Mus musculus: one gene and its partner. The protein of the gene in region 1 purifies or fractionates together with the protein of each later gene. This does not show direct contact. Links are inferred from orthologs where the notes say so. Each region holds a gene or a part of one and is shown in the gene's direction. Other genes may lie near its edges. The genes, in order: Ubr2 and Ube2b.

Region 1 (14,293 bases):
GCACCCCGCCCACGGGCTCCATTGAAAGAATCCAGACAAGACGCATACAGTGGAGTGTAGGAGACAGAATTGGTTTGGTTTGGGCAATTCTGTTTGTTTTTTGTTTTGTATTCTAACATTGTTGTTTGTGTATGGATATTGGTGAGGACGTGCCACGCCTGTGTGGAGGTCAGAGGACAGCTTGTAGGTGTCAGTTCTCTCTCCACTCTGGGTTCCAGGAGTTGAGTTCAAGGGAGAGTCACTCTAGGTGGGCTTTATTCCATCCCTAAAGTCTCTGCAGCAGAAAACTTCCCCTGGGCGCTACTTTCCTGCCCAGAAGCTTGACAGAGCCATTTGGATTAACTTGGGGAGATGGCGGTGGGTCCTGTTCTTTTCTAGGGAGCTTCCAGCGAGAACATAATCTTAGGCAGTTTAGATAGTTAACTGTTAATGGCCTTTCAGGTTTGTCTCCACCACAGTCAGAAATCAACTCTGCCCGCACTGCGGGTCCCTAGTTCTCCAAGCTGTCACGGGTTACAAGCGGGGGATTCATCCCCCTGACCCTCAGGCTTGCCGATGGTGAAGAGCAGCTGGGTTGCCTTCTCTGGCTTCCACCACGCCAGGCCATCGGCTGCTCAGTACACCTTCCTTTGCTCTACTTTGACTAAGCCAAGAGTTAACCTTGTGTGCTTATAACATGACCACATATTTACCAAGTTCTTCTCCTTTCTCACTTCTTAGCTACCCCAGAGGAGCTAACAAACTGATAGACCTTCCAGAGGATTACAGCAGCCTCATTAACCAAGCATCCAATTTCTCGTAAGTTACTCTCTTGGTGCCCTGCCCCTCAGACCCTTCTGCAGACAGTCAGATGGGTTTGTGGGGGCTCTTTGTTTTCACTGGGGAAGAGAAATCAGAAGTCCTTTCCATTTACTTATTTTATGTGTCTCAGTGCTCTATCTGCATGTGCACCTGTGTGCCAGAAGAGAGCATTAAACATATCCTCTTATGCATGGTTGTGAGCCACCATGTACTTGCTGAGAATTGAACTCAGGACCTCTGGAAGAGCAGCCAGTGCTCTTATCTGCTGAGCCATCTCTCCAGCCCTGCATTTGTGATTCTTTTTTTTTTTTTTTTGGTTTTTCGAGACAGGGTTTCTCTGTGTAGCCCTGGCTGTCCTGGAACTCACTTTGTAGACCAGGCTGGCCTCGAAATCCGCCTACCTCTGCCTCCCGAGTGCTGGGATTAAAGGCGTGCGCCACCACACCTGGCCTGCATTTGTGATTCTTAAGGAGTTTTCTGTCTCTGGGTATCTCCTGCGTCTCCCTCCTTGCTCTGTAGACACGTCACTCTGAGTGCTGTGCTGAGTCTCTGCCCTCTTTTACTCTGTTGATGTGCTAAAGCACTGACCAGAGCAACGTGGGGAGGAAAAGGGTTAACCTGCTTACAGGTTACAGTCTGTCACTGAGGGAGGTCAGAGCAGGGGCTCAGAGCAGGAACCTGGACGGGGGACTGAAGCAGAGGCCATGGAAGAACACTGTCACTGGTTTGCTCCGTCTGCGTTCTTATATAACCTGGGCCCACCTGCCCGTCATCAATTAGCCATCAAGAAGAAAGTGTCTCCAAAGATGTGCCCACAGGCCATTCTAACAGAAGCCATCTCTTGTTTGAAGCTTCTTCTCGCCCCCTCCCCATGTGTCTGGGAAGCTAACATGGGTGTCTGTTCCGCGTCACTCCATTTAAGTGGCTGTGTCTGCAGTACTTTGCACACTGTGTCTGAGATTTGTACGTGACTGAGGCATCACTCTTCCGTGCCCCAATAGTAGTTCCTGTTGTTCACACAGTGTTCCCATCTGCCTGTCCCAGATGTTGCTCCCTTAGGTGTTTCTGGTAGGTGGTATTAGTGTGTGTCCCAGTGTCCTGTCACAGAATGGTGAATACTGACAGATTATTTTCCAGGGTGCTCTGTGCCTGTTCCTTTGTAACAGTGCTGTCTTTATCTTCCAGGTGCCCCAAATCAGGTGGCGACAAGAGCAGAGCTCCTACTCTGTGCCTCGTGTGTGGGAGTCTCCTCTGCTCTCAGAGTTACTGCTGCCAAGCTGAGCTGGAGGGTGAGGACGTCGGAGCCTGCACAGCACACACCTACTCCTGCGGCTCCGGGGCCGGCATCTTCCTGAGGTAAGGCCCTCGGCTGGCCGTGTTCACCTGAGCACTTCGGGGACTTTCGAAGCCACTGTGCCACTGTGTGCAGACTACAAAGAGCCAGGGCTCTCACATTTCCCGTATGGCTGGTGACAGCTCCCAACTGACAGCTTAGCTCCCCTTTGTGCCTCCTTAAATGTGGGGCGATCCCTGTCCCTCGTTTCCTCCCCAAATTCAGGTAAAGAATTCCCCCGTCAGGAACTGCAGAGACGGAGCACAAGAGCACCTGTATTCAGGTCCCAGCATTTGGGTCAGCAGTGCAGCTCACGACTGCCTGTAGCTCTGGTGCTAGGGGATCTGCTGCCCTCTGCTGGCCTCTGTGGACTCACACACTTACACATAAAGCATAAATTTGTAAATCTTTAGAGCCCAGCATCATCTTTGCCTCTGTGGTGCTCTTAGGTTTTCTCTGAGGAGGCACGGGTTGCCACTGGGTCCTGTACTCAGATAAAAATACTTAGTAACTGTTGTATGTCATTTTTTAAACGAGTAATTTTCTCATAATTGTGGGGAAAAGATGAGCTGTCTTTCCCCACACTTAGCTGTTTTAAATTCTGCTTGGAGCCCTGGGTTCTCGACACAGTCACTGTCTGAATTTGCAGCACGTCATTGCCAGGTACATTCCCGCCGCATGGCTCCACTGAACACTTGTGTAAAGAGTCCCTTGTTCTCCTGAATTGGCACCTCGGAGGCTTACCTCCTCCGTCTGCTAACCTAGGCCTAGGCCTGGGGACTTCCAGACTGCACACAGGCCAATCTAGGCCGACAGTGTTTCCAGCCTCTGAGACTTTGTGCTGAATAAGCTCACCCTTCCTGGTTCTTTCTGAGCTCTGACTGGCTGTGACTCACACCCCTCTCCATGCTGACTGAGTCAGACTGACTTCTGAGTTGCTCTGTTTGGCCTCATGCTACCTTTGCAAGCTCCTCTGATCTTCTGGCTCCTTCTCATTCTCTGACTCATTCTGTCTTCACCGTGTCTGCTTGGTCTCTCTTCAGCCTGTCTCTGTAAAACCCTCCCGGTAAATCTGCCTTCTCTCTTCCCTCTGGCTCTGCGCTGCTCTCTCAAGTAGCTTCCTCTTCCTCAAGAGAGTGAGGCACATCCTATTCTGTCAGATCTTTCTCTGATTCATAATTCTGTCTGCCACTCCATTAGACGTCACTTCCAAACATGGCTGTGTCCTTCCACAAACTATGGATTTAAAGGTATGTCCTAAAGGCAAGTCTGTATTCCAGCAGAGGGATTAAAACCGAGCCGTACCACAACTAGAAACAGTTTTTTCCATAAGTAACACAGTCTCAGGGTTCACAGTGTGATCAAGTCCCCTGCACCAGACTTGGGCGGATACCTTGCTACTCGCAGGTATCTCTGTTACAGCTGCTCTCGTCTCCTGACCTGGCCTTTTGTGCATGTGTTTCCTTACATAAGCCTTTTCTCTGAGTTGAATCAACATCATGTTACTTACATAAATGTACAAAGATGAATGCTCTCTCCACAGAGTGCGGGAATGTCAGGTGCTATTTTTAGCTGGCAAAACCAAAGGATGTTTTTATTCTCCTCCTTACCTTGACGACTATGGAGAGACCGACCAGGGACTCAGGTAAGGACCCGGCCTGGGGTTAGGAAGATGAGCCTCGTGGAGAGCATGATAAGCAGGGAGGTCCTGAAGTCAGCTGGGCTGGTACCCAGGAGTGGGCTCTGCTGAAGGTAGCTTGTCACCCGTGGACTTGTCACCTGTGGACTCGTTCTCAAGGAGCACACCTGGCTCCTGCTTTGTGTGCATTTGCCACCTTTGGAAAGCCAGGAGTGGGTGGGGAGAGGGCTTGGTTGGTAAAGTGCCTGCCATGTGGGCATGAGGACCTGGGTGTGACCTCAGTGCGGAAGGGGGGTGGGGAGGGAGGTGTTTCTCTGCCTCACCAAGTCAGTGAGCTCAGACAAAAAGCAAGAGACTGTCTCAGGAGACACTGGCAAGTGACTGAGGAGGAAGACACCTGAGGGTGACTTCTAGCTTCTGCCTGCGTGTGCACACAGCCATGAGCACACCCACACACGTGCATGGCCACTCCCATGCAAACAGAAAAAAATGGATTCTTTTCGAATGTCTTGGTGTCTTAACTTGGTGGGTGAAGTGCTTGCCTCCAAAGCCTGAGGGCTTGTATTCAGATCCCCGGCTCTCTCTCACCCTAGTGCTACAGGCAGACACGGGCCACCCCAGAGCTCATCCATCAGCCAGTCAGCCTAGGCAAAATGGTGAGCTCTGGGCTCAATGAAAAGGCCCTGCCCCAGAGATGAGGTGGAAGGAGACAGAGAAGACACCCAACACTGGCCTCTGGCCTCCGGCCTCCACACACCGAGCATGGCATATACCCCTGCACATACGTGCACACATTGAGAATAAAATTTTAAGTTTAATATAAACAAAAGGGCTGACGACTGTTGGCCGAGGTAAAGGCCTGCTTCAGGAGCCTGCTGACCAAGTTCAGTCACAGAGTCCCATAGAAAATGGAAGGAAAAGTGACTCCAGAGAGTACGTCCAACTGCCGCGTGCACACATGGCAAAGGAGAGAGACAGAGAGAGAGTATGAGAATGAGAAAGAAACTTGAGAAACCCTCCATGAGGAACATAGATAGGACAGATGTGAGAAAGCCAAAAGACTGCTTTGAGTTGCCCATAGCATCCCCAGCATCAGCCCCACAGGTCCGGCCTGTGTGGCTCCCTTCAGGGGAGGCTTTTCCTGTCCTGGTGACAGGAGACCAGGTGTGAGTGCCCAAAGATATGTGTGCAGAAGAGAATCACATGATGCAGGCGCAGCTGCCCTTGATACTGCCTCTGCTGGGAGCTTCCCGCTCACAGAGCCCTACTCCAAAGCTGCTTGCCCCCAGGCGATGAAGGATTAAAGCAGAGGTGACTTCCCAGGCTTGAATAACCAAGGTTGGGCTGTGTACCACCATATACCCAGTTAACGTGGGCCCAGCGGCAGCAGGCATCTAGTTACCTTGTTAACGTGGGCCCAGGGGCAGCAGGTGTCTAGTTATCTTGTTAACATGGGCCCAGCAGCAGCAAGCATCTAGTTACCTTGCTGAGGCTTCTAGGTGACAGCCCCTGTCTTGTCCTGTCATCCTTCCACCCTGTCCTTTGCCCCACGACCTTTTTGCACATCACCATAGAATAAAGAGTTTTAGCTTCTTAACTCAGACCTGGGCCAGCAGTCCTGTTTCCTGACCTCAGTCTAACTGTGTGGCACTGGAGTACCTACCTTTTCTCTTCAGCACATACCCACAACCCAACACCGTGCGTGTGTGCGTGTGTGCGTGTGTGCGTGTGTGCGTGTGTGCGTGTGTGTGTGTGTGTGTGTGTGTGTGTGTGTGCGTGTGTGCGTGCGTGCGTGCGTGCGTGCGTGTGTGTGTGTGTGTGTGTGTGTGTGTGTGTGTGTGTGTATACAGAAAATACACAGTTGGAAGCTAGTGCTGTACACCTTTCCTGGCACAGAATGTGTTGGGACATGAGGAATGGATAAACTGTGCCTGTGAGTGACATGTGTCTCTTTCTAGACGAGGAAATCCTTTACATTTATGCCAAGAGCGGTTTCGAAAGATCCAGAAGCTCTGGCAGCAGCATAGTATCACAGAGGAGATCGGACACGCGCAGGAGGCTAACCAGACCCTGGTCGGAATTGACTGGCAGCATTTATAATCGCTCCTCTACTAAAAACTTGACTTGGAGTTTTGTAACACAGCTGGCTTTTCCAGAAAGACAACAGGAAATAAGTTCGGCTGAATCTATTTTGAAATAAATTCTTTATTTAAGCTTTTCTTCCCAGTTTTATTTTTCTAGTCTGGCTCCAGGGACTGATAAAAGTCATTTCTGCCAGATTTTATTGCTGTGTCCCTTAGACGGACGTCCCCTGGGTTGAGAGCCCTTTCTAGACCGGAGTCTAGCTCCTTTGGACGCTGCCTGCTTCAGCTGCAGTAGCCTGAGCCAGTCAACATTGCTGATGGTGTCAAGCTTGCTGGCTGTCCACCAGAGGCCAAAAGGAGCCCTGGGGCCTGTCAGGAGGACATGTCCCACCATGGTTCCTGAGACTGGGATGCGGTTCAGCTCTGGGACTAGACCTCACCTCCAGAGCAAAGCAAGTCAATTTGAAGACAGGACTCGCTTCCCCCTATGGCCTAGAGAGCTGGGGACTCTAACAGGAGAGCAGCCGGCTTTTCATGGCTGTAGATGGTTGGTCAAGACTTTTAGCTTTGAAAGCATTACTCAATTAAAGGGCTTTTTGAAATGTAAAGGACCTCCTAGTTTTTCAGACTATAGCCTTCTGCTCCAAGGCTAAACAGAGAGCATGTGCGCACCCTCAAGCAGACCACAGCAGACAAGTAAGAGCTCGGCTGAGTACAGTGCTCCAAGCCTGCAATCCCAGCTCTCAGGATGCTTAGGCAGCACTAGGAGTTCAAGGCTAGCTCCAACTGTGTTACAAGCTTGCGGCCAGCGTGGGTAACTTGAGGAGACCCTGTCTCAAACCAAACGAAATCCAGAAGGCAGTGTTTTGAGCTGCCTGCCCTGCCCTGCCCTGCCCTGCCCTGCCCTGCCCTGCCCCGCCCCGCCCCGCTCCGCCCCGCATCTGGATCAGATGTGTTGCTGCTTGTCTGCTGGTTGATCTAGGACATTCCTCAGCCTGTGCACACAAACGCCTGTTCTTTTTATTCTAAGAGCAGCCTTTCTAGAACTATAGCTACTTGGTGCCACAGTTACGGCTCTGGCACACCGCACACCTATTTCCTCGTCTGACGGATATCCGTCACATTCAGAGAAGTCACATAGACATGGTGACAGCAGGTTCAGCAGAGGGATGAACTCCAGTCTCCAGGAACAGAAAGGGGCTTTCAGCTTCTCTAACCATCAAAGAACCTCTCACTCAGCCTTTCAAATCACATCCACTCAGCTCTATCCATGCCTCCGTGTCTCAGGAGAGTCAGAAATCCAGACCAGAGGCTCAAAGAAATGCAGGTAGCACAGTCTCCAGGATCATGTGAGGAGCTGCCTCCCCTTCAAAGGATGGACTTCAGTTAGCTCTTCAGCGCGGCCCAGGCTCAGGACAGAGAGTTTGTAATGGAAGCCCAAGCTAGACTCCGTGCTCTCCCTTTGTCTCGCCTTCCCTTGGCATAGTCAGACTGGGCTGTGGATGGTGATGCTTTCGACCTTTGGCACATGCCGTTTCTTTAGATTTTAAGTTCAGCTTCTGTTGGCTCTTCACCTTCCGTTCACAAGGCTTAACTGTAAAGTTATGGGAACGTCTCTAGACTTGAGCCTAGTGCTAGAACACTTGCCTAGTGTGACTGAGGGCCTAGGTTCAGCCCTGGTACCAACCCAAAAGGAAAAAAAAAAAATCATGAGCACAGCTTGCTTCTAAACAGGCTGAAAACATCTGCTTTCTCACCTGACTCCACAGGAGCCTGGGATTAGCAGAGGTGGCCCTGTGTTTCACTCCTGGGAACATCAGGGTCTGGGCAGTGACTTCCCAGGGAATGGCAGTCCTCACACTGTGGCAATGTCATGTCCTCCCCCTACCGACACGTCTTACTTCCACTTGTTCCGCATGTTTTTGTTGTAGAAATGTTTATATACCATGCTTTCCATATCAGGGGAGATCATGTGTTTAATAAATTGGCTATAATTTTAATATCTGTGGACAATTGTAAAATTTGGGATGTATCATATGTAAAAAGTAAAGATATTCAAATAAATGCTTTAGTGTTGACATTGAGTTTTGCCTCCATCTTCTCCATGTCATTCGCACACACGGGGCCCCAGCAAAGCTCCTTGTGTCACCTTGCTGCAAAAGTGGGACATCGATATTAGCCTAAAATTTAAGAAGCTTAAACTATTAGTGTCAGCTATGACCACTAGCCAGGCCACACTGACCTTCTGGGAGGCATGGGCGTTAGCTCAGCCTATGAAGTTTTCCTCTTGTTGTCTGTGAGAGTGGGAAGTCTGGGGCCCCTGGACCGCAGAGCAGTGCACAGCAGGTCTGTGGGAGACTCTCTCAGCCTTGCCTGCTTCCCTGCAGGTCCTTGTTCTTCTACACCCACCCGACACTTGGCTTCTGCGATGTGTTCAAGAAGGAGACGACTCAGAGTGGAATTCTGCTGTGTTCTCAGAATTCTCTTACCAGACTGAGTCAAAACATCAAGTTCTCCATGGGACACTGTCAAACACCAGGGTCTCCATTGGGCTTCCCACCTCCTGGTCATTAAGGCTAACTCCTGCCCTAGACCAGCTGCCTCTCACTGACTGCTGGCTCTCTATCTATCTATCTATCTATCTATCTATCTATCTATCTATCTATCTATCTATCTATCTATCTAACTAACTATATCTGGTTGGTTGGTTGGTTGGTTTGGGTTTGGTTTTTTGAGACAGGGTTTTTTCCCTGTGTAACCTTGGCTGTCTGGAACTCACTCTAGACAAGGCTGGCCTCGAACTCACAAAAATCCAAATGCTGAGATTAAAAACCTGTGCCACCATAACCCACCAGCTCTGACCCCACCCTTATCTAGTGATGTTTACTGAGGTATACTTTACGGACAGATTAACCCTCTTTAAGGATACAGGGTTGTTTACATTTTGGCAAATGCACAGTTGTTTAACCAGCACAGTTGAGAACTAGAGCAGTCCCTGCAGAACATACCCTCACACCCCTTTGTGGTCCCCTCCTCCCTGCCCTGAGTGCTGCCTCTCACTCCTCTGTCCTGCACCCCTTCCAGAATCGTAGGTGACTGGAGTCACATGAGGTGCCTTCCCAGCAGCTTCTCTGCTACTCGTGCATTTTAGAGCTGGAGAACATAGCTTAGTTACTGAGCATTTGGGAAACCCTAAGTTCCACCCCCAGCAACACAAAAGCTACTATAGTATTTACAACCTGCATCCCAGCAGGGGGGCTGCAAAGGCAGGAAGATCAGGGGTCCAAGGTCATTTCAAGTACATGAGTTTGAGGCCTGGGATACAAGAGATAGGGTTTCTAAAAATCCTTATAAAGTCGAGTATGTTTGAGAGTCACACTTGCCTCTGGATGCTGATGGCATCCACTGTGCAGACCTTGGTACAGTCTCTAATTAAAGGCCTGGGTGATGGTTGGTGACCATCTTGTGATTACAAGCACTCCTATCTACATGGGAGCTTTGTGTGGACCCGGGGGTTTTTATTTCCTTGGGTAAATGGCTATGAATTTCCTTCCATCATGTTGCCCGCTGCCACCAGTCCCATGTCCACAAATCGGGAACCCATCCAGGCCACTCGTGCATAGACTTCATACCTTCCACAGGTACAGCTCTGCCCTGACACACAGCCACCAAGAACTCCACTGCGCAGCTGGGCTGTGGTGGCGCACGCCTTTAATCTTGGGAGGCAGAGGCAGGCAGGTTTCTGAGTTCAAGGCCAGCCTGGTCTACAGAGTGAGTTCCAGGACAGCCAGGGGGATACAGAGAAACCCTGTCTCGACAAAAAAAAAAAAAAAAAAAAAAAAAAGAACTCCACTGCGCTAGTGGAGAGTGACTGAGAAGCCCTGATTGTTGTCGCTAAGCTGCAAACCTGCTGGGCTAGCATGCCCGGTGGGTGCCGGGTGAGGAGGGGTTGGGAGCTTGCCTAGCAGAGCAATGGCTAATCTTATTAGCCCATATTGAGGTTGCCTGGGATTTACATGGTGGCTTAGTTTTGAGCTGGAAGCATGTCAAGAGAAGTTGTAGGTTCTTACTTGAGCTGAGACGACAAACTCCCAGGATTCCTGCCTTTCTGGTCATTGAGCATAAGAAACCATCAACTGTTGTTTTACTAGAGACTGTTTTGAAAATAGAAAACTGGGCCAAGAGAACGGTGACGTGGCCTTCAATCTCAACACCCAGGAGGCAGAGGCTGGCAGATCTCTGTAAATTCAAGACCACTCTGATCCACATAGCAAATTCCAGGCCAATCAGGGTTACATGGTAAGACTATCTCAAAAAAACTAAAATAAAACTAAGAGGCTGGGTGTGGGGCTAGCCTAGTCTACACAGCAAGTTCCAGGCCAACTTGGGCTATAAGGGACACAGTCTCAAAAAGAAGTCTGGACTGGGGGTGTAGCTCAGTGGTAAAAAGCCCATGCTAGGGTGTAGCAAATCCCCATCACAGCTTTTAAAAAGGAAGGCAGGCGGTCCCTGCTTCTGTCTTTACCAGTTACCCTGACTGGGGCGGGGCTGAAACAGCTGTTAGTGAGTTTGCATGAGCTTGAGGAGGGACCAGTGTCACATAAGGAAGAGCCTGGTTGGTACCAGAGTATTACTTGGACTGGTAAGTCACCAAAAGGAATGGTCTTCCTGGCAACTCTTAGCTACCTAAAACTACTTCCAATGCAGTTTATCCTAAATCTCTGAACCACGTAACCTGTAACCCAGCCCCAAGGACGCTTACAGTTACCTATTAGTGAAAATGATTGTTTTAGAAATCCAGCATGGAAAAAGAGACTTGACTGAGGGGGAGGGCTGTGCAGTGGGCAGGGTGTTTAAGACAGGGTTTCTCTGTAGAGCCCTGGCTGTCCTGGAACTCACTCTATAAACCAGGCTGGCCTCAAACGCAGAGATCCACCTGCCTCTGCCTCCTGAATGCTGGGATTAAAAGCATGTGCCACCACTGCCCAGCTAAGACTTAATTTTTTTTGAAGTTATTATTTCTGCATCGATGGGAGGGTGCCACTTATATGGAGACCCATGGAGGCCAGAAAAAGAAGTCAGATCCTGAAGCCGGGGTTAGAAGCAGCTGTAAAACTATACCTGTGGGTTCTGAGAACTGTCCAACTGTCCATGTATACTCTGGATGGACAACAAGCACTCTTCATCACTGAGCCATGTCTCTAGCCCTGACCCCAACTCTATTTATTTAAAGACTGGTCTCATGTACCGCAGGCTAGCTCTGGAACTTGCTATGTAGTACAAGATGCCATTGAACTGATCCTCTGGCCCCCACCTCCCAAATGCCAGAATCAGAGAGACATGCACGGCTGGACCTGGCTCCTTCCTTTTTAAACAGGTACTGGCTAGAATTTGACATCCTGTGACGTGTGCTGTTGAATAGACGGACAGTCACTTAACAGTGATTTTCATACAATATAGTTTTTAATATCTCTTAATACGATGGTTGACAGCATAGTTAGAAATGGGTCTAGAGTATCTTTCACCATAGTCTCAGCCCTCCTGAGAGGTGACGGCAGGACCCCGAGGGTCCCCGCCACAGATGCCTGGCTCAGCATCTGGGCCATTTCTTGCTCTGAGAGACTCAGAATACTAACCAACATTGGGGCCATAGTTCGTTGGGTGTGCCAGCATCTCTAATCTGGTCTTCCCCCTGAGAGAGTTAGAACCACACAGCACAGGCCAGCAGCAGCTGAGCCCTTGGGGACCAAGCCCTGCCTCCTGGTGGTCTCAGATGGCCACAACAGTCCTTGTGGGTGCCATCCCACAAGGTGCCACCAAAATCATATTTTTGCTTCCCCTGAGAGTTTGCCTGACGTTCCCAGAAGAAACAGCAACTTTCCACACACGCTAGCTCGGAAAGATAACCTATCTCCAGAATCTTCCTGGATACGGAAGCATTCCCATAGTGCTTTGTGGGAGGGAGAACAGAAGCTCCCAGGGGTCTTTGCCCTCCTGGACAGTGCAGTCCACAAAGACTGTTGTGGCCATCTGAGACCACCAGGAGGCAGGGCTTGGTCCCCAAGTGGCAGATTCCTAATTGATCACCACATCTCTCCCACAAAGGACAGCAAACTCACCCGGGGCCTTCTCAGGCAGTGGCTCACCCAGCACTTGGTGAGTGGAGGATGCTGGGACATGCCAGCTGAAGTACGTGACTGCGAGTCTGGGAATGGGGCAGGTATGGGACACTCACTGGATTTTACTAAAGGAAAGTTTTTACCTCCTGTGCCATCTGTGAATTTCTATGTGGAGGTAACCTTCTGAGGGAGTCCAATACTCTTAAAAAAATATCATTGCTTCTCCCCCATTGTGTAACATGAAGCAAATGATGACCAGCCTGTTAACCCTATCATTAAGGAAAACAAACAACATGGCCCTTAGAGTTTTCTTATTTTCACCTTGCTTTTATGTTTCAAGTGATGGTTGGGATGCAGAACTTGTAGCTTAAAAGAGGCAGACACTACTGAGGAGGGGAGAGGCCCTTGGTGTGGCCAGTCACCTATGAGAGATCTGGACTCACACTTGGACAGAGCCCTGGACTGGCCAGTCCTGTGAGCGTTCAGTCCTGGCCATCTGCTGCATCGTTCAGTCACTCACATCTGGAGGCAGCCGTTTCACAAATGTTTGTAACCTGCCCTAAGGACCCTGAACTTCAAGGCCCACATCAAGGAGAGTCAGTAGGTGACCAGCTTTCTCGGGAAATTTGGACTTTCAGCTGGACAAAGGGGGTATCCACAGTCCCTGGAGTCCACTAAGTGTTGAGGAGGGGGAGAGGCCCCAGGCCATCAGCCAGCCTCTGGAGCCGGGCCTGCGTCTGCACCTTCAGCCTCCACCTGATTGCTCTTGCCCAGCTTCTTAAAGCTCTCCAGAAAGGCCTTCCAGGTCTCGGGCACGCTCTTCTCCAGCAGCCAGCCCTCACTCTCACACTCGGGGTCCTCCGGGTTAGACACACTCTCCAGCGCTGTGTGGAGGTAGCGGAGTCCGGCAGTGATGCTCACCTGGTAGGGAGAGAGGAGACTTAGAGCAGACATGAGGCTTAGCTAGGAGGGCTGTTAGGACAACATGAGCAGTGGCAGCTCACATCTCCCTGGATGTGGGGCTGGGGCAGATGGTCACATTGCGACCCATCCACCCTGGCCTCCCTTCCAGCCCCCTGAAGGCGTTTAGAACATCTGATACTCTCTGCCTAGATCATCATGGCTCTTCAGTCGCCTGTTAATCCAGAGCCGACCCCAAGTGACCCGTGCTGTGCCTACCCCTCCTCTTCCTTCTTCCTGCCCTTCCCCCCACCACATCGACCACCCCAGTCCTTCACTCCATAGTCCACCCTGTCATGGTGTGTTGCTTTGTCCATAAGAATGTCAGCAACTTTACCGAGTGGGATCACAAGGTCACTTCCTGGGCTGGCCAGTTAGCTTAATGGGTAGAGACTTGGCTGCCAAGGAGCACAACTTTTGTTTGATTTCCCCCTAGTGGAAAGAGACAGCTGACTCCTGCAAGTTGTCCTCTGACCTCCACAAGTGTGCCATGGCGCTCATATGGCCAAACATGTATACACGCGCACACACACACACACACTCACACAAATATAACCTTCTTAAAACTCACTCCCAGTCCAGGCATGGCGGTGGTGCATGTCCTTAATCCCAGCACTCAGGAGGCAGGGGCAGGTAGGTTTCTGTGAGTCTGAGCCAGCCTGGTCTACATAGAGAGCTCTAAGACAGCCAGATCTATGTAGAGAGATCTTGTCTCCAAACAACAAAAGAGTCACTTCTGGGCCTGGAAGATGTCTCAGCAGGCAAGATCGCTTGCTCTTGCAGAAGACACAGGTTCGGTTCACAGTACCCACAGGGCAGCTCAGAACCATCCGTCACTCCAGTTCTGTGGGATCTGATGCCCTCTCCTGACCTCCACTGGCACCAGGTGGACACATGACGTGCATGCAGACAGCCAGGCAAAGCACTCACACATAAAGTAAATCTGAAAAGATGGAAAATCGTTTCCTCTTCTGCACATCCTGGGTGTGCAGTCATGAATGGATGCTGGTCTCCAGCTGTCCACGTTTCTGCACCAGCAGCCGCGTGCCAGACTCTGGGTCCTAAAGTATCAGGATTGGCCTACCAGCCTGCACGTAAGTGGCTGCGAGGCTCCAAGAGACAATGACTGCATCTTCTGGCTTGCAGATTTTCTGAAGAGGTGACAGCTGCCTCTGGTGGATGGCATGGGACACGAGGCCAGGTTGAGCTGTCAGCTGATTGGTGGTTGGCATGGTGGGTACCATTTTTTCCTTTCGTTTTGTATTCCACTCACTACTTACCTCTATGCAAGCTCAAGTTTCCTGTGCAACTCTGGGCTGTTTTCTAAGAGACTGTCCCCCTCCCCCATACATTGGAT
Region 2 (15,564 bases), on another chromosome or scaffold:
CCATAGCCAGGCATAAAGGCGGTGGTGGCGCACGCCTTTAATTCCAGCACTTGGGAGGCAGAGGCAGGCGGATATCTGAGTTCGAGCCAGCCTGGTCTACAGAGTGAGTTCCAGGACAGCCAGGGCTATACAGAGAAACCCTGTCTCAAAACAAAAACACAAACACAAACAAACAAACAACGCCCAAGCCATATCTCCAGCCCTTGGTCTTTAAAGACAAAACAGCTGAGGCAGTAGAGAGCCAGGGGTGGTAACACTCCAGTCCAGAGATTGTGAGGCGGAGCTCTGAGTTTGAGGCAAGCCTGGTCAACAAAATGAGTTTCCAGGACAGTCAGGGATACACAGAGAAACAGCAGAAACGTTCATTTTAAATGTACTAGATAAATCTTTAAAACAGTGTACTTCATTATCTTTTTTGCTATTACTAGACAACATTTCCATAAATATTCTCACTGCTCTATTGGTTGTTTAATGAGATTCTAAAATTTAGTTAAAATTGAGTTCTTTGGACAATCATTTTAGGTTAAGAATATTAACAAGTGTAAGAAACCTCTCACTAGACTATGTTAAATTGAATAGTAGTGGTGGCGGCACATGCCTGAACCCCAGAACTCCAGAAGCTGAGGCAGAATGAGGAAGAGTTTGATCTAGCCTGGGCTACACAGTGAGTTTAAGGCTAGTCTAGACTATGCAGTAACACTTTGTGTAAAGAAAAGGAAGGGGCCTGGAGAGACGAAGCAGCAGCTAAGAGCACTGGCTGCTCTTCCAGAGGACTCTGGCTTTTTTACATTTATTGGCTATTCTGTGTGTGAAATCCACTATTTTACTTGCATGGATGTCCATACACCAGGTTCATGTCTGATGCCCAGGGAAGTCGGAAGAGAAAATCAGATTTCACCCTATCTATGGGTTCTAGGAATCAAATCCAGGTGCAGACTAGCCTTAAACTCACTGTGTGTTGTGAAAGAGCAACAAATGCTCTTAACTCTAAGTCAATGCTCTAGTCCCTAGGGCTCTGGTCTAAACCAGGCTCACAGCCATCTGCAGCTCTAGTTCCAGGGAATGAGACATCTTCTGTCCTCTTCTGTCCTCCGTGGGCACTCATGAACATGGTACAAAGACATACATGCAGGCAAAGCACCCACACACATAAAGTGAAATTATTTTAAGTTTAAAACTCTTTTAAAGGAAGAAAGGTAGGGAGAGACGGGAAGCAGCTGAGCCAGGCCAGTCAGTCAGAGGAGTTTAAATTGTCTTGCTAATGGTGTCACATGGCTTTAATCCCAGCACTCAAGAGGCAGAGGCAGGTAGATTTCTCTCTGTAAATTAGTAGTCTGTTCTACAAAAGAAGTTCCAAGGCAGCTAGGGCTACATAGTGAGACTCTCTCTTATAAAACAAACAACAACAAAGGAAATAAAGTGTCTTAAAATAATTTGCATATGTCAGACATGGCAAATATGTGCATTTGAGGGCAGCCTAGTCTACATAGCAAATTCCAAAACATCCAGGGATACATAGTGAGACCCTGTCTCAAGTTATTTGTGTGCATTTATAACAATAAAATGTTTTCAGGCTTATCTCAGGGTTCCTGTCACTCTCGGTTACTTTTTTCTTTTTTTTAAAGATTTATTTATTATTATAACTAGTTGCACTGTAGCTGTCTTGAGATGCACCAGAAGAGGGCATCAGAACTCATTCCGGGTGGTTGTGAGCCACCATGTGGTTGCTGGAATTTGAACTCAGGACCTTCGGAAGAGCAGTCAGTGCTTTTACCCGCTGAGCCATCTCACCAGCCCCTCATGGTTACTTTTATAAACATTATTATGCAGGGGCTGGAACTGTTACTCAGCTGGTAGAGTGCTATCTAGCATGCACAAAGCATGGGGTTCGATCCCTAGCACCACATAAAACTGGGTGGCTCAAGGGGTACAGGCACTTGCTGTCAAGCCCGTCACCCTGAGTTCAGTCCGTGAGAGCCTTCCAATTTTAGCAAGCTACCCTTTGTCCTCTACCTGTGTGCTGTTGATGTGTATGAACACACACAATAAATGTATTTTAAAAATTAAGACATAGCAGGCATGGTGCTGCACGTAATCTCACTGCTAGAGAGGTGGAGGCAGGATACCCAGTTTACCTAGACTCTGGTCTCAAGGCAAGAAACCTTAATGCCCCTAGATTCCAGTGACTAGAAAATTTGTATTTGGAGGCTTCTTCCCCTTAGTTCCAGTCTCTAGCTATGGACTCCTCTAGGCTACTAATTATCTCCTAATTCTATTTCTCACTTAAGGAGCACAAATGACCCGACAGTGCTGATTCATTTCATAAGGCAGGGACTGATGTCTCTCATAGTACAAAATTACCTTTATTAGCTTTTAATCTTTCCTTCATACAGTCTAGAATAGAGCAGTTCTGACTGTCTACAGGTGCTAGTATAGTGTTCTAGTTAGAAGCAAATTGACTTATATTATCTAATAGAGATTAAAAAGGAAAATGCTTCTTTTGTACCAGATGAAGATGGCAGGAATAGCTATGATCTTCATCACATATAAAACACCTAGACTTCAGTCTCAAGGTAAGAAACTAATGTCCCTACATTCCAGGGACTAGAAAATTATATTTTATTAGCAGTGGTCTGTAGAATGTATTAGGTTGAAAACTAAGGGGGTCTGGTAAGAACCTAACTCAGGAATGCTGCTAGTATCATGAGGCCATTTTTTAGAATTCAGCAGTGTAAACAGATACAAAGTTAAAATGATAGACTGCAGATAACATAGGAGAGAGTGTAGAAGCAAATAGAAAAGAGTCGGGTTTTGTTTGGTTTGTTTCAGTCTCTAGCTCTGGACTCTCCTAGGAACGTGCATGTTCTTTTGACTGCCTCAGCTCTTTGGTCTGGTAGACCCAGCACCCCTGCAGTGCCTGGAGCTCCCCGATACGATACTGTTGCTGCTTGTAAAAGCTTAATAGCCTTCAGTTACAGATCCCTGTCACCTCCAAGTCAACATTTCCACAACTGAGCTAGTTCTCAACCTCTCTTCCAACTCACATCAACTGCAGTGTTCTCTGGACTTCAGGGCATCTCTGACTCTTTAACGGCCTCATGATACTAGCAAGCCCCCAAACCAAGTTTTGACTTCTTAGACTAAAACACTTTCTGTTTCCAATTTACTACACTTTAATCACACTTCTTTCTAATTCTATACAGGAAACTCATAGAGCAAGTATCTGCTCTTCTTCTTCCCATTCTTGCTGTCCTGTTTTAGTCTTTCTGACCTTACTGCTGTTCCCCTAACCTGGAAGTATCTCCATCCTATCCCACTGCTGTACATCATTCAAGGACAAGTACATACCCTATTTTCTGTTTAAAACAAAACAAAACAAACCAACCAAACAAACAAAATCCTTCCCCATCAAACGGGAATTGGTGGGATTTAATATTAACCATTAAATAAACAACAAATGAACAAAAAAGCCTGTGTGGGTATGTGATTGTATGCACATGCCTGCAGGTGTCTCTGGAAACCAGAAGTAGGTACAGGATCCCTGGGAGCTGGAGTTACAGGCAGTTGTGAACCTGCTGATGTGGGGTGCTAGGAAATGACTCTAGTCTAGGAAGTGCTTTTAACCACAGAGCCATCTCTCTGGCTCAGCGTGAACCACTCTTATTCAGGGTTATTTTACTATACCCTCCTGCATAGTTATGCCACTAAGGAACATTTTTTTTTTCTTCAAGACAGGTTTTCTTTGTTTAACAGCCTTGGCTGTCCTAGAACTCACTCTGCAGACCAAGCTGGCCTTAATCTCAGAGATCTACCTGTCTCTGACTCTCCAGTACTGGAATTAAAGGTTTGCACCCCAATACCTGGCAAAAAAAATTTTTTTTCCTTCTTCCTACTCTCATCGTTTTCCACAATCCCTTGTACAAAGCAGACATCCTTACTAAGTATTATACTTGAATAGTTTTGAATGATTTTACAATACTAGCATAATTGTTATACACAAGCACACAATCTTATATCAATAAAAAAGTACAGATTGTAGACAATGAGGGTTTCTCTATGACAGGTCTTAGTTTATCTGTTAATGGAAACATTCTTTCATATATTTTATTTTTATCCCATAACAATTTCTCTTTTGACTTAAATAATCAAGGAAAAAGAAGATGGGTGTTTCAATGTAGGCCTGTAAATCTTAGCCCTGGAAAAAAATAAAGCATTTCAAGACAGCCTGGGCTGCATAGCAAGATAGGTCCCAATGGGAAAACAAGAAAAAATATATATAATAAAAGGCAAAAGAAGCAAACCTTTAGAAACTTTATTTCTCTCGTTGCAATTTTGTTGACAGATTTTTCTGGTTTCTCATAGAAAATCTTAATGGCCACTATTCGCCCAGTGTCCTTATGTTTGCATTTCATGACCGTTCCATAACTTCCCTCTCCCACTTTTCCAAGGGTTTCATACATCTCCATTTTCAAGCCTGGCTTCTACTTCACAGAAATAAAGAAAGAAAACGTTAAACGTTCACACTTTCAATTATACAAGCTCTATAATGCTTAGAGATAATCCCCTACTTTCGGATATAAGAACAAAAACTAGGAGTGCCGGCTACAGCAGAGCCTGCTCGAGGGAACTCTTAAATTGTCTAAGAAGCTCCAACTTTCACCAGAACGCAGGATGTCCTTCATTAATCTAGCATTTTGTGTAGACCGGGATTGAGAAATAAAAGAGGTCTGATATGCGTTTAACTCAGGCATCCTTTTAGAATACGGGATTTACAATTTGAGGTCCCCTTTCAGGAACAATGGAAGCCAAACTAAAAAGTCCCGCTAACAACACTGCGGGTCCCTTGTTAGGAGCCACGGTCCACCAAGCGTGGGGACTCCCACCTCAGCACTAGTCACCCATACGTCCTGCCCTCTCCTCAAACACGCAGTCTGTGCAGCCCCAACCCGAGTGGCCCGTCTCGCCGCGCTGTCGACCTCGTCCTGAGAACCACCGCCGCCTCAGCCCATCCTGTAGTCCCGCCGGCCCGGCTGCGTGCAAGTCCCAGCCGGCCCGGGACACCACACCTCCTCTCCTGGCCGACCTTGCCGGCTCGGGGCAGCCGGACGCCCTGGCAACGGGGTGAGGGCGGGGCACTGCCGCGTTCCGAGCACAGTACGCAAGACTGGAAATTGCTGAGGTCCTGACCCGGAAGGGAAAGTGACACGAAGCGGAAGATAGACCCAAGGGGAAGGGGGAGGGACGTAGGAGGCCCGCGTGCTTGCAGGTGGGGGTGGGGGTGGGGGGTGGGGATGAGGGAGAGCGGGGCATTTTATAGCAGAATGAACGCCTGGAGGCTTTCGCCCGGCAAGAGAGCGTTTTGTCACCTGGGTGGTTACTGGTCCCTTACTTGTGCCCGGTTCTAGGAGGTTGACGGAGATAATTGGATCTACGGAACACTTATGGGGCTACAGTTTGCCAGTGCTTCGTTACTATTCCATGCAACCGATTTCGACCTCAAAGTCGACATAATCCTTAAACCGGGGACAAGATCGTTTTTGGATAGAGGGCTTAGCTCGGTAGTAAGCCACATACTCAGCGTTCACTACTCCTCTGACTTATTTCTAACACCATTTCTGTACACATTTTCAGTTTCCCAATTACTACTGCTTTCTACCTACTAGTGATCCCTTTTTGTTTTGAGACAAGGGCTACTATATAGCTCCGGGTAGCCTGGGACTCACAATGTATACTTCCAGGCTGGCCTCAAACTCCCAAGATTATCTGCCTGCTTAGAGTGCTGTGCTGAGTGCCATCATATCCAGCCCTAGCAGTACTTTTAAAGTTTTCTCATGACGTGTGAAACGCAAAACTTTTTAGGAAAACAAAATAATTCACCGGACTCTGCCACAGGCTGAGTAAGTACAAGGACGCCTAGGGATGTACTTTTAAATAGCCCGCAGAGCTTTTAAAAGGGCTCCATTTTTACAGATCTTGATTTAACTGTAATAGCAAAAGTAGGTCATCGAGATGGCTCAGTAGGAAAAGGCTACGAAGCCCAAAGTGTAGAGTTCAATTTCTTGGACCTACGTGGTGGAAAATGAACCAACTCCTCCAAGTTGTCTTGTGACCTATACACACAAATGAATGTGCACAACGAGTGTGCTGAGTAGTGTAAAAAAGAAACTAGTTTGCTTTTTTAAAAACAAAAACAAAAAACAGTTTAGGGCTGGAGAGATGGCTCAGCGGTTAGGATTACTGACTACTACTCCAGAGGTCCTGAATTCAGTTCCCAGCAACCACATGGTTACTCACAAGCATCTGTAATGGGATCTGATGCCCTCTTCTGGTGTGTCTGAAGACAGCTACAGTGTATTTGTAAAAAAAAAAAAAAAAAAAAAAAATCTTAAAAAACAACAAACAAACAAAAAACAGCCGGGCGTGGTAGCTCACGCCTTTAATCCCAGCACTTGGGAGGCAGAGGCAGGCGAGTTCCAGGACGGCCAGGGCTACACAGAGAAACAGTTTAGACGCATTTCCATTTTTGCAATTTTGCTACTAACTGCTAGAGCCTGGCTTTGGAGCTTGAGAGTTAGGAGGGCTGGGCACTTGGCTTGGATTTTTCTTTTTCCTATAAATAAGAATGTTGTGAGACCTGCTATATGTTTACTTAAGATTTGTTATGAACTAAATATTTGCAAGGAGCAAAGCATGAATTAGTGAGCCCCTGTCATCACAAACTAACTCCTAACCCCAGCACTCAGGAGAGAGGAAGTCAGAACTATGTGAGATTGGGGCCAGCCTGGTCTACATAGCAAGTTACCCTGTTTTAATAAGTGAAATTATAGTTCTAAGACTGCGGTTGTAGGTTTCCAGCAAGCCACCTGGCCATGAAATTGTGTGAATTTTGTTAACATTCTGCTCTCTATATTTTTGGGAAGCATTCAATTTATCAAAACATTTCATTTTGGATATTAAAAACTATCCCGTCCATTTTTTAAAGTAATAAATTGCTAGATAAGCAACAGAATGAGATTTTTAAAAAGCGTCTGCCATTTCACTCTATGTATTTCTTGATCATGAGGAAGATTAACATTGGTATGGCTGGACGGAAATTTAAAAAAGCCCAGGCACTTGTTACCGGCCCAGGGGATTTAAAAAGCCTGTTTTCCCCCAAGACAAGGTCTCTCCCAACTCTAGGTGCGGTGGAATTTGCAGACCTCTAGTCCCCTGTCTACCCAGTGCTGGAGTTGTGCTTGTGCGCTGCATCCTTTTCAATAACATTTTACAGGGCTACCTAAGGCCCTGGGGTTCTACGGAATAACTCAAAGAGAAGAAACGTAAAGGTAAGAATATTTAACTTTTAGCTTAGTCACATTGTGAGGACACAGCAGCGGCTATCAAGAGTAAGACATACCTGACAATCCTCAAGGTTACTTTTTGGCGGGGAGGGATGAGACGCTCAGGCTGCCTAGGGTGGCTACCATCCTGCTTCACTGAGGCTAGCCTTATACTCCTGATCCTTTCCACTCTCCGAATGGTGGGATTGGCAGGATGCACCAAGACGCTGGGTTCTCAAGGTCATTTTAAATCAAGAGAATTGTTTGAAGGAAGAAGGGATAAGGACAGTGAAAAAGGTTAACCCTTCCTGGTTTCATGGAACCATGTGAAAGAGTGAGCAGTGGAGTCTCATGCGCTTCCCCCTTCTTGAGTTAAAGAATTCCGCATCTACTACACTGTTCCGGTCCCTAGAACTAACAAATCCCCAATACAGGGCTAGAAGCTGAGCACGGAAATTCCAGGAGCCAGCTGGGGGCTGTGGTGGTCAATGCTTCGGGAATCGGCTATGAATCAACCCCCCACACCGCACTTCCGGTCCATTTGGTCCCTCTTTGCTATTGTATAAAGCTTGTAATGAGTTACCTCAGAGTCGAGCTCTAACTCCCACCCATGTCTGCAGGATCTCTCCCCTGATCTGAATCATTTTTGTAGGTTTCTTTGACAACCAGCAGCATTGATATGCTCTAAAATCACACCCACTCACTTCTTGAAAAACACAATTGTGCCCCACCGCAGGCAAATTCACAGATTCCAATTCAAAGACTCCATAGATGGAGTCTTTAAGGTTTGGGCAATCTATTCCACTCTCATTTCTGTATAAATTCTAAGTATGGAAATTCCATTAGCAGGAACAGGCTATTGATGCAAATGCCCTTAATCCCATCTCATTTGCACCGACCTAGCATTCAAAGCCGTTCATTACAAGGCTTTGCCACACTTTCAGTACCTGTCCCACGTACCAGAGTTGCTAAGCCACTTGAAACACAGAATTAAGTCCAGATTTTTTTTTTGTTGTTCCGTTTTAAAAGACTCAGAATGCAAGCGGCTCCTTCCACAATGTCTCCTTTTGCAAAGCCCCAGTACTTTGGGACCAAAAGAATAATGTATGACTAGAGGTGTCAACTCCTTATACTCAAGGACCTGCTTTGTTAGACCTGAAACCAGAGCCAGGCTAGGCCATCACGTGACCTGCTCTGATGGCGTCACAGGCACACGTGGTTCTAGATACTTCGCTCCCTCCCCCTCAGGGGTGGATTGTTGACAGCGGCGCTGGCGGTCACGTGACTTGACGTCACCCCCCCCCCCACCTCCTCTCCTCCGAAATCTCAGGCTCCGGATGCACCACTCTCTCCCCGTCCGGCCGAACTTGAAACTAGCGACGGGGGGAGCGAGGCGAGGTAGCGTGTGGGCTCCGAGGGCGTTGGGCCGGGCCGTGTTCAGCGTGAGCACGGAGCGGATCCTCCGTAGTTGCCCGCAAGCAACAAGCCCGGAAGGCCGCCTTCTGCCCCTCCGGTGCGGCGCGCGCGCCCGCTCGCCCCGCCCCCTCTCCCCCCTCCCGCGGTGGTACTGGCGGAGGGCGGAGGGATCTGGAGGCGGCGGAGGGAGACGTCATTGCAGGGTTGTTTGTGCAGTCTCGGTGGCGGCGGCGACCCACAGTGATTCGGCCGCTGCGCCGGGGGGTGGGGGGGCTGAACGGGACTCTTTTCTTTCAGACTGACCGCGGGGCAGCTGCGGAGCATGTCGACCCCGGCCCGTAGGAGGCTCATGCGGGATTTCAAGCGGTAAGGGCCCTCGTCTTAGCCCAATATGACGGCCTCTTCCCGAAGCCATGGACTGTAGGGCGGGGATTCCGGATATCTTCCTCCTGGTGACCCTGAGGAGGCGGGCAGTGGGCCTGCGGGACCCACGGCAGTCCCGGCTTCCCGGTGGCTCTTACTCCCTCGCTTCATACCTCCCTCTGTCTGGAGTAAAGATGGTCGGTACTACAGCCTCCTGCCCTTCCCCCCCAAAAGTAGGAAGGTGGCCATCGCTGGGCCTAGGTGTCCCAGAGGCCCACCTAGGGCAGATGCAGACGCTTCACCTCCCGCCTCTGCACCCTGCAGTGTCCCCTCCCCAGGTGGTGCGAGTGAGCTGCTCCTGAGGCTCCGGCCTCGCCTGGCGGACCAGTCCAGCTTTGTTACAGGGCCCCGTGATCTCCTGTTGGTAGTGAGAGGTTGGGGTGAATACTGCCCCAAATCTCTCCCTTTCTGCAGTGGTGAGGGTGGGGTCTGCTGCGCGAGGTCCGGAGGTGGTTAGCCCATCCCCCGAAACCCGATCTGCCCCCGCCCACCTGGAAGGACCTTGAGAACTGGCTCGGGAAACCTGGGCCTGGAGCTAGCCACTTGGCCTGCCAGTGCCTTCTGGAACTAAGATCTGGCCGCGGAATAAAAGCCTATCTATAGCCTCCCCAGCCTGGAAAAATGCCTTCCGTCAGACTGGAGCTAATCTGATACTCCACCTGGGCCTCCTTTTGGAAAATAGGGGTTTATAGGAAATGTGGGGCTTGAAGGAAGAAGATGACCTCTCCCAGTTGTTTACCTCTCCTTGGAAACGTACAAGTGCAGAAACAGTAGACTAGATACTAGTTTTCTTTCTGGGCAGACCCGCTGTGATTGAGACAAATCTGTAATATAAAAACTTAGATTTGCCTCTCAGGAAGCAACTGCTCAACTTTCCCATTATAAAGCCCTTTATGAGAGAGAGAGAAAAAAAAGCCCTTTATGAGGCATTTGGAAGCTATTGTCTTGGGACCTGGACAACTTCATCATTTAATTCGTTGCTGATTTTAGCCACACAATTGAGGAATGAAGCAGTAAATTCGTCCCTCTCAGTCCTGTTAGTGACCTAATCTGCTTGAGGTTGACCAGTTTGCCAAGTGTCCACTTAAAAATCACAACATACTTTGTGAGATGGACAGGTTTTTGTTGTTGTTTGTTTGCTTGCTTTTTTTTTGTTTGTTTTTTGTTTTTCAAGACAGGGTTTCTTTCTCTGTGTAGCCCTGGCTGTCCTGAAACTCACTCTGTAGACCAGGCTGGCTCGAACTCAGAAATCCCCTTGCCTCTGTCCCCTAAATGCTGGGATTAAAGGCGTGCGCCACTACTGCCAGGCTGTTTTTTTTTTTTTTTTTTTTTTATTAATGATCTGCCAGACAAAGAGATGTCCTTTTTGGTGCAAAAGTCACCCAATGCTTGAAGTCACTATATTTGATTAGCTCTGTAACTGATACACAAATAAAACTTTCCATTATGGATAATACATTATCTATTATTATTTATCTCTTGTTCATTTTTGCAATTTCTGTACTTGACTCCCAGTTGAGTACAAGGTGCCTTTGGTGGTTTTCCAAGGATCTTGAGGTTACATGAAATTGCTGATGATGTCTGTTGAAAGCATTGTATGGAGGCCTGAGGTATATTTGGCCTGAGAGCAGAGTTTTTAAAATAGAGCCTGCTGGAAAAGCTAGCTGGAGCTTCTGACTACTTTAGAAAGGCACTGTTTGAAGCACAGGCCATGAAGTAAGACTTGCTTTCTAGTTAAATTGAGGTTTTTTGTTTTTTTAAGTCATTTAGTGTATAGAGATTTCCTACATTTTTGTGTTGTGTAGTGTCTGTAGTTAGGACTGGAGATCCTTCCATGATTAAGGTACGAAAATTGTAAGTTTTTGTTGTGTTTGGTTTTTGTTTTTTGAGACAGGGTTTTTTTGTTTGTTTGTTTGTTTTTTGTGTGTGTAGCCCTGGCTGTTTTGGAACTCACTCTGTAGACCAGGCTGGCCTCCAACTCACTCACCTATGTCCCAAGTGTTGGGTCCAAAGGTGTGGACAACCACTACCACCTGGTAGTTGCAGGTTATCTAAAAGTATTTTTCATTGCTAAAATTGTAAACTTTGAGTGGGTTAAGAGGGTACTCTGAAAACGAGTTCCTCAAGAGACCATATCTTAAATCTTGCTGTTTGAAGAATTTACAGATCTGGTAGTATTAATACGAATATTAACCTGGTTGATTCATTTAGATCGTAACTCATTTCAGCTCCAACTATAACAAGTCAGTCTAGCTAGTCTGTCAGAGTAGCTTCAGGAGAGTCTGACCTCACTGGCCTATATGTTCAACTCTGAAAATGACTACTCTGGACTTCTAGATTGCAAGAGGACCCACCTGTGGGGGTCAGTGGCGCCCCATCTGAAAACAACATCATGCAGTGGAATGCAGTTATATTTGGGTGAGTTGAGCTAGGGATTGCTCAGAAAAGGTAAGTAAATAAGCACTGGGGAGAGAGGCTGAGGCCGATTCTGAAACTCACTTGTGTGGGGCGGGGACACATCTTTTGAGAACCCTGGGCCTCCTGTGCTAATTGTGCTCCCATCCCTAAGCTGTATATCCAGCTCTTGAAACATTTTATTGAGTCTGGGGCATTTATATAAAATTGGTCGGCTTGCTGTTATATTTAATTTGGCTTCTTTCCCTTGAGCCAAGGTGTGTTGCAGTGTTGCTCAGGGTGATTTTGAACTGGGCTGAAGTGATCCTCTTGCTTTAGGCCCTCTGGAGTAGCTGGGATTGTGGGCGTATGACACTGTACCTGGCTATGGTATGGTTTTATGGTTACTCGAGGTGACTGATCCTAGGGTGTGAAGGCTTTGAGTGAAGCTGAGTGGTAGACTGCTTGCCTGCTATGCATATGGCCCAGGGCTTGATCCCCACACTAATAAGTAAATGCTGGAAATTAAATGGGCTAATGAAGGAGATCAGGTAAATCACCTCATACAAAATGTGCCGTTCAAGTGTTTATGCCCCTACTGTTGGAGCTGTAAGGACACTTGGAACCAAAAGGACCGAAAACTTTGCTGTGACAAGAATTTTAGCTAAAAATGACATATGCACAGCCTACCGAGAAGCCACTGGATGACTTTGGGTAATACTGAGATTGAAACACCCTGTAGGCAAATGCTCCATCCATCACTGGGCTGCACTCCTAGCACCTTTGAGATTCTATTGAGATAGACTCTTGACAAGGGTGGGGTTCAGCCTTTTGATCTAGCACTTAGAGGCTAGGGTCCAGGCTGCCTACTGAGGTCCTGTCTCACAAAAAAACAACAACAAAAAGATCTCCATGCATTTCTCAGACTTGGGATCTTCTTCCTTCAACATCCTCAGTGCTGGGAACACAGGCATAGGCTACCATATAATACCTTTTTAATTTCTTGTTTATCATTTGTGCGCAAGTGTGCACGCCTGCATGCTGGCTGACTGACTGTGAGTAGGTATCTATAACCCATAACACTTGGTGTAGAGGTAAGATGACAATTGTGTAGTCATTTCTCTCCCTCCATCATGTGTTCAAGAGATAGTATGGCGAGTAGTTCTACTTGCTAAACTGTCTTGCTAGCCCTGCACATCCTTTTTGATTTAAAATGTAAAAAATTTTTGATTATGTGTGTTTGTCTATATATGGGATTATGGGAATTTACCACTACAGCTAGTTATGGTATGGTATGATTTTACAGTCAACCCAGGTAATTGATTAAAAACTAGGGTTTGAAGGATACGTGTATAAGAGAGCAGGTGCCCATTGGAAGCCAGAGGCCAATGTCTGATGTCCTGAAGTTGTAAGCTCCCTGACATGGGTACTGGAAATCAAATTCCTGTAAGAGGTTTTTTCAAATATTCTTCATCAGTAAGCTGTCTTACAAGGATCTACACTTAACTAGGATATAACTAGTGGGGGATCTACACTTAACTAGTAGATAACTAGTGGGGTACTAAGAATGTAGCTAGCTCAGTGGTGGAGTGCTTGCCTTAACATTCCTGAAGTCCTGGTCAGTCATCTATAATCATAGCCCCTGGAAGGCTGAGGCAGAAGGATCACAATGTAGAAGCCAACCTGGGCTATTTATTTAGTAAGACCTTATCTCAAGAAAATCAAAATAGGTATACTGACTTATCCTTAATAAATCCTAGCACTCAGAAGTCTGAGGCAGGACAATTGCTGCATGGTTGGGCAAGCCCGGGCTGGGAGACTCGCATCCCCCGCTTTTTTTTCCCCCTGTGTATGTGTTATACCATCCTTTTTAAAATCTTAGTTTGAGATGGCCTTGCCAAGTTAGTCAGGCTGTGTATCTTAGGCAGTCCTCAAACTCTGACATCCTCTGCTTCTGCCTCCTGAGTCTCTGGGAATACAAGTGTGTGGTACCAGGTTCACTTGTAGACTCTTGGGTTTTTGTTTGTTGGTTGGTTTTGGTTTTGAAAACAGGGTTTCTCTGTGTAGCCACTGGCTGTCCTGGAACTCACACTGTAGCCCAGGCTAGCCTCAAACTCAAGATATCTACCTGCCTTTTCCTTCCAGTGCTGGGAATAAGGCATGTGCCTTTATTTGGGTGTGCGCTGCCACACTCAGCTGTACAGTATTCTTTTGCAACAAAATCATAGACAAATTTCCTTTCAAAAAGAACTTGAGCATTGAAAGTCCTTTGTGCTGCCTGAGTTCAAGCCACGGCTGTGGCAGTCTGACAGGTAAAGTTTATGCAGCTCTCAGGAGCAGGGTGAGCGCCGTCCTCCTAGTTCCCAAGTTATCCTTCCCTCCCTGAAGACAGAGAAAGAAGAGTAAAAAACTAATTTTAATCAGAGATCTTTTTGTTTTCAGACCAGAAGGGACACCCTTTGAAGATGGTAAGTAATTCTTATTATCTACATATTAAAAGGGTGCCCTTTGGTCAGAGACTCTAACAGTATTTGAAGACAGGCTCTACTCTTAATAAGCTCTTGGCATACTAAGCAAGCAAATGAAAACTTAGAGCTCATGGGGATCTTTTTTTTTGCACATCACCTTGGTCACCTTTCACCAGTTTTCCGTGTGACATGGGTTACCTATACAGCTGTAGGTCTAAGTGGTCTGTGTTACAAAATGGTTGATGTTTGGGCGGCCTAATAGAGGTGCTCCCTGGGCACTGCTACCAAGTGGGTAACTGTTTCCTTGCTTTCTTGTCTGCATTCATAAGGGTGTTGTAAAATTTTCCATTTCTTTTCTCCCTATTACTAGGGAATAAATCCAGAGCTTGGTATGTTCTAGGGAGGCACTCCACTGCCAGGCATCCCTGAGTCCTGAATTCAGAGTTACCAGTAGCTTCACTACTCAGCATTTAGCACCCAGAAACGTTGTGCAGTCATTTGCAGCTCAATTTGGGTCTAACAGGAGCCAGGAAAATGGGAGAATGATTCTAATCTGTAATCACAATTAAGTTTGTTAAGTTGACTTTAAGCAGGTACTGAAAGATTTTCCTTAATTATAGTGGATTAAAAAAAAATTAAACAGCTTTGCTGTAATTATCAGAATGACTTCAGAATTCATCTGTTCAGCATGTTTGACAAGAATAGTTACTGTGGCCAGGCGTGGTGGCACACACCTTTTTTCCCAGCACTCGGGAGGCAGAGGCAGGCAGATTTCTGAGTTCGAGGCCAGCCTGGTCTGCAAAGTGAGTTCCAGGACAGCCAGGGCTACACAGAGAAACCCTGTCTTGAAAAACCAAAAAAAAAAAAAAAGAATAGTTACTATGAACTATTTGTGAGAGAACCACCTGAAAACCTGAGAAGTGAGTGGTGCCGTTCTTGGACGCTAGGATATTAAGTACCTGTCGAAGAAAAGGAGGCCGGTCTAGCTGTAGGTCTTAGACAAAGATGCTGTAGAATAACCTAGCATCTGTATATTTGAGATGGATCTCACTGTAGCCTCTTCTGTAGGTCTAGACTCACAAATCCTCCTGCCTCTGCCTTCCAAATGCTAGGACTATCCTCTCTCTCTCACTAAACATGTATGCCCGTGTAGGGATGCGTACCACACTGTCACTTACTTACTTGTGAGTAGGCATGAGGAATCCCAGGAGCTACTGAATGATTGTGGCACACTTCTTTAACTATGTCAGGACTTCTCAGTTGTCCATTCCCAAACTCTTCAAGATGTCTTGAGTCCGCCATACAGGAGACCCTGTGGTCATCTTTAACTGTGTTGACCTTTGCATTGCTGATACAAAGGCAGCCTCACTAAGCTAGATCTGTACCTAAGGAATTGAGCATCTAAGAACGAGCCGGGACTGTGGCCCACACTGTGCTAACAGTGACTGTGTTCTTTGCATGTTAAGAGGACTTGGTGGTAGTTGAAATTGCTCGTCCTTACATGTGGATGCTCCTTAATACTGTGCTTTATGAAGGACCTCAGA

The links.
Region 2: the proteins of Ubr2 (region 1) and Ube2b purify together in Homo sapiens (affinity purification with western blotting; 3 studies listed by BioGRID, with this or other methods). This does not show direct contact. The link is inferred for Mus musculus from reciprocal best matches to the Homo sapiens genes UBR2 and UBE2B.

The regions. Positions count from the first base shown.
Region 1 is NC_000083.6:46,921,939-46,936,231, reverse strand, and holds the end of Ubr2 (E3 ubiquitin-protein ligase UBR2), read left to right. Parts: intron 1-720; coding exon 721-798; intron 799-1,986; coding exon 1,987-2,157; intron 2,158-3,677; coding exon 3,678-3,779; intron 3,780-5,731; coding exon 5,732-5,873; 3' UTR 5,874-7,941; downstream 7,942-14,293. Other genes in the region: Prph2 (peripherin-2), read right to left, coding at 12,685-12,897. UniProt on the Homo sapiens protein: E3 ubiquitin-protein ligase which is a component of the N-end rule pathway.
Region 2 is NC_000077.6:51,993,830-52,009,393, reverse strand, and holds the start of Ube2b (ubiquitin-conjugating enzyme E2 B), read left to right. Parts: upstream 1-8,902; 5' UTR 8,903-9,057; coding exon 9,058-9,101; intron 9,102-11,495; coding exon 11,496-11,576; intron 11,577-13,994; coding exon 13,995-14,020; intron 14,021-15,564. Other genes in the region: Cdkl3 (cyclin-dependent kinase-like 3), read right to left, coding at 4,302-4,466. UniProt on the Homo sapiens protein: E2 ubiquitin-conjugating enzyme that accepts ubiquitin from the ubiquitin-activating enzyme E1 and transfers it to a E3 ubiquitin-protein ligase. In vitro catalyzes 'Lys-11'-, as well as 'Lys-48'- and 'Lys-63'-linked polyubiquitination.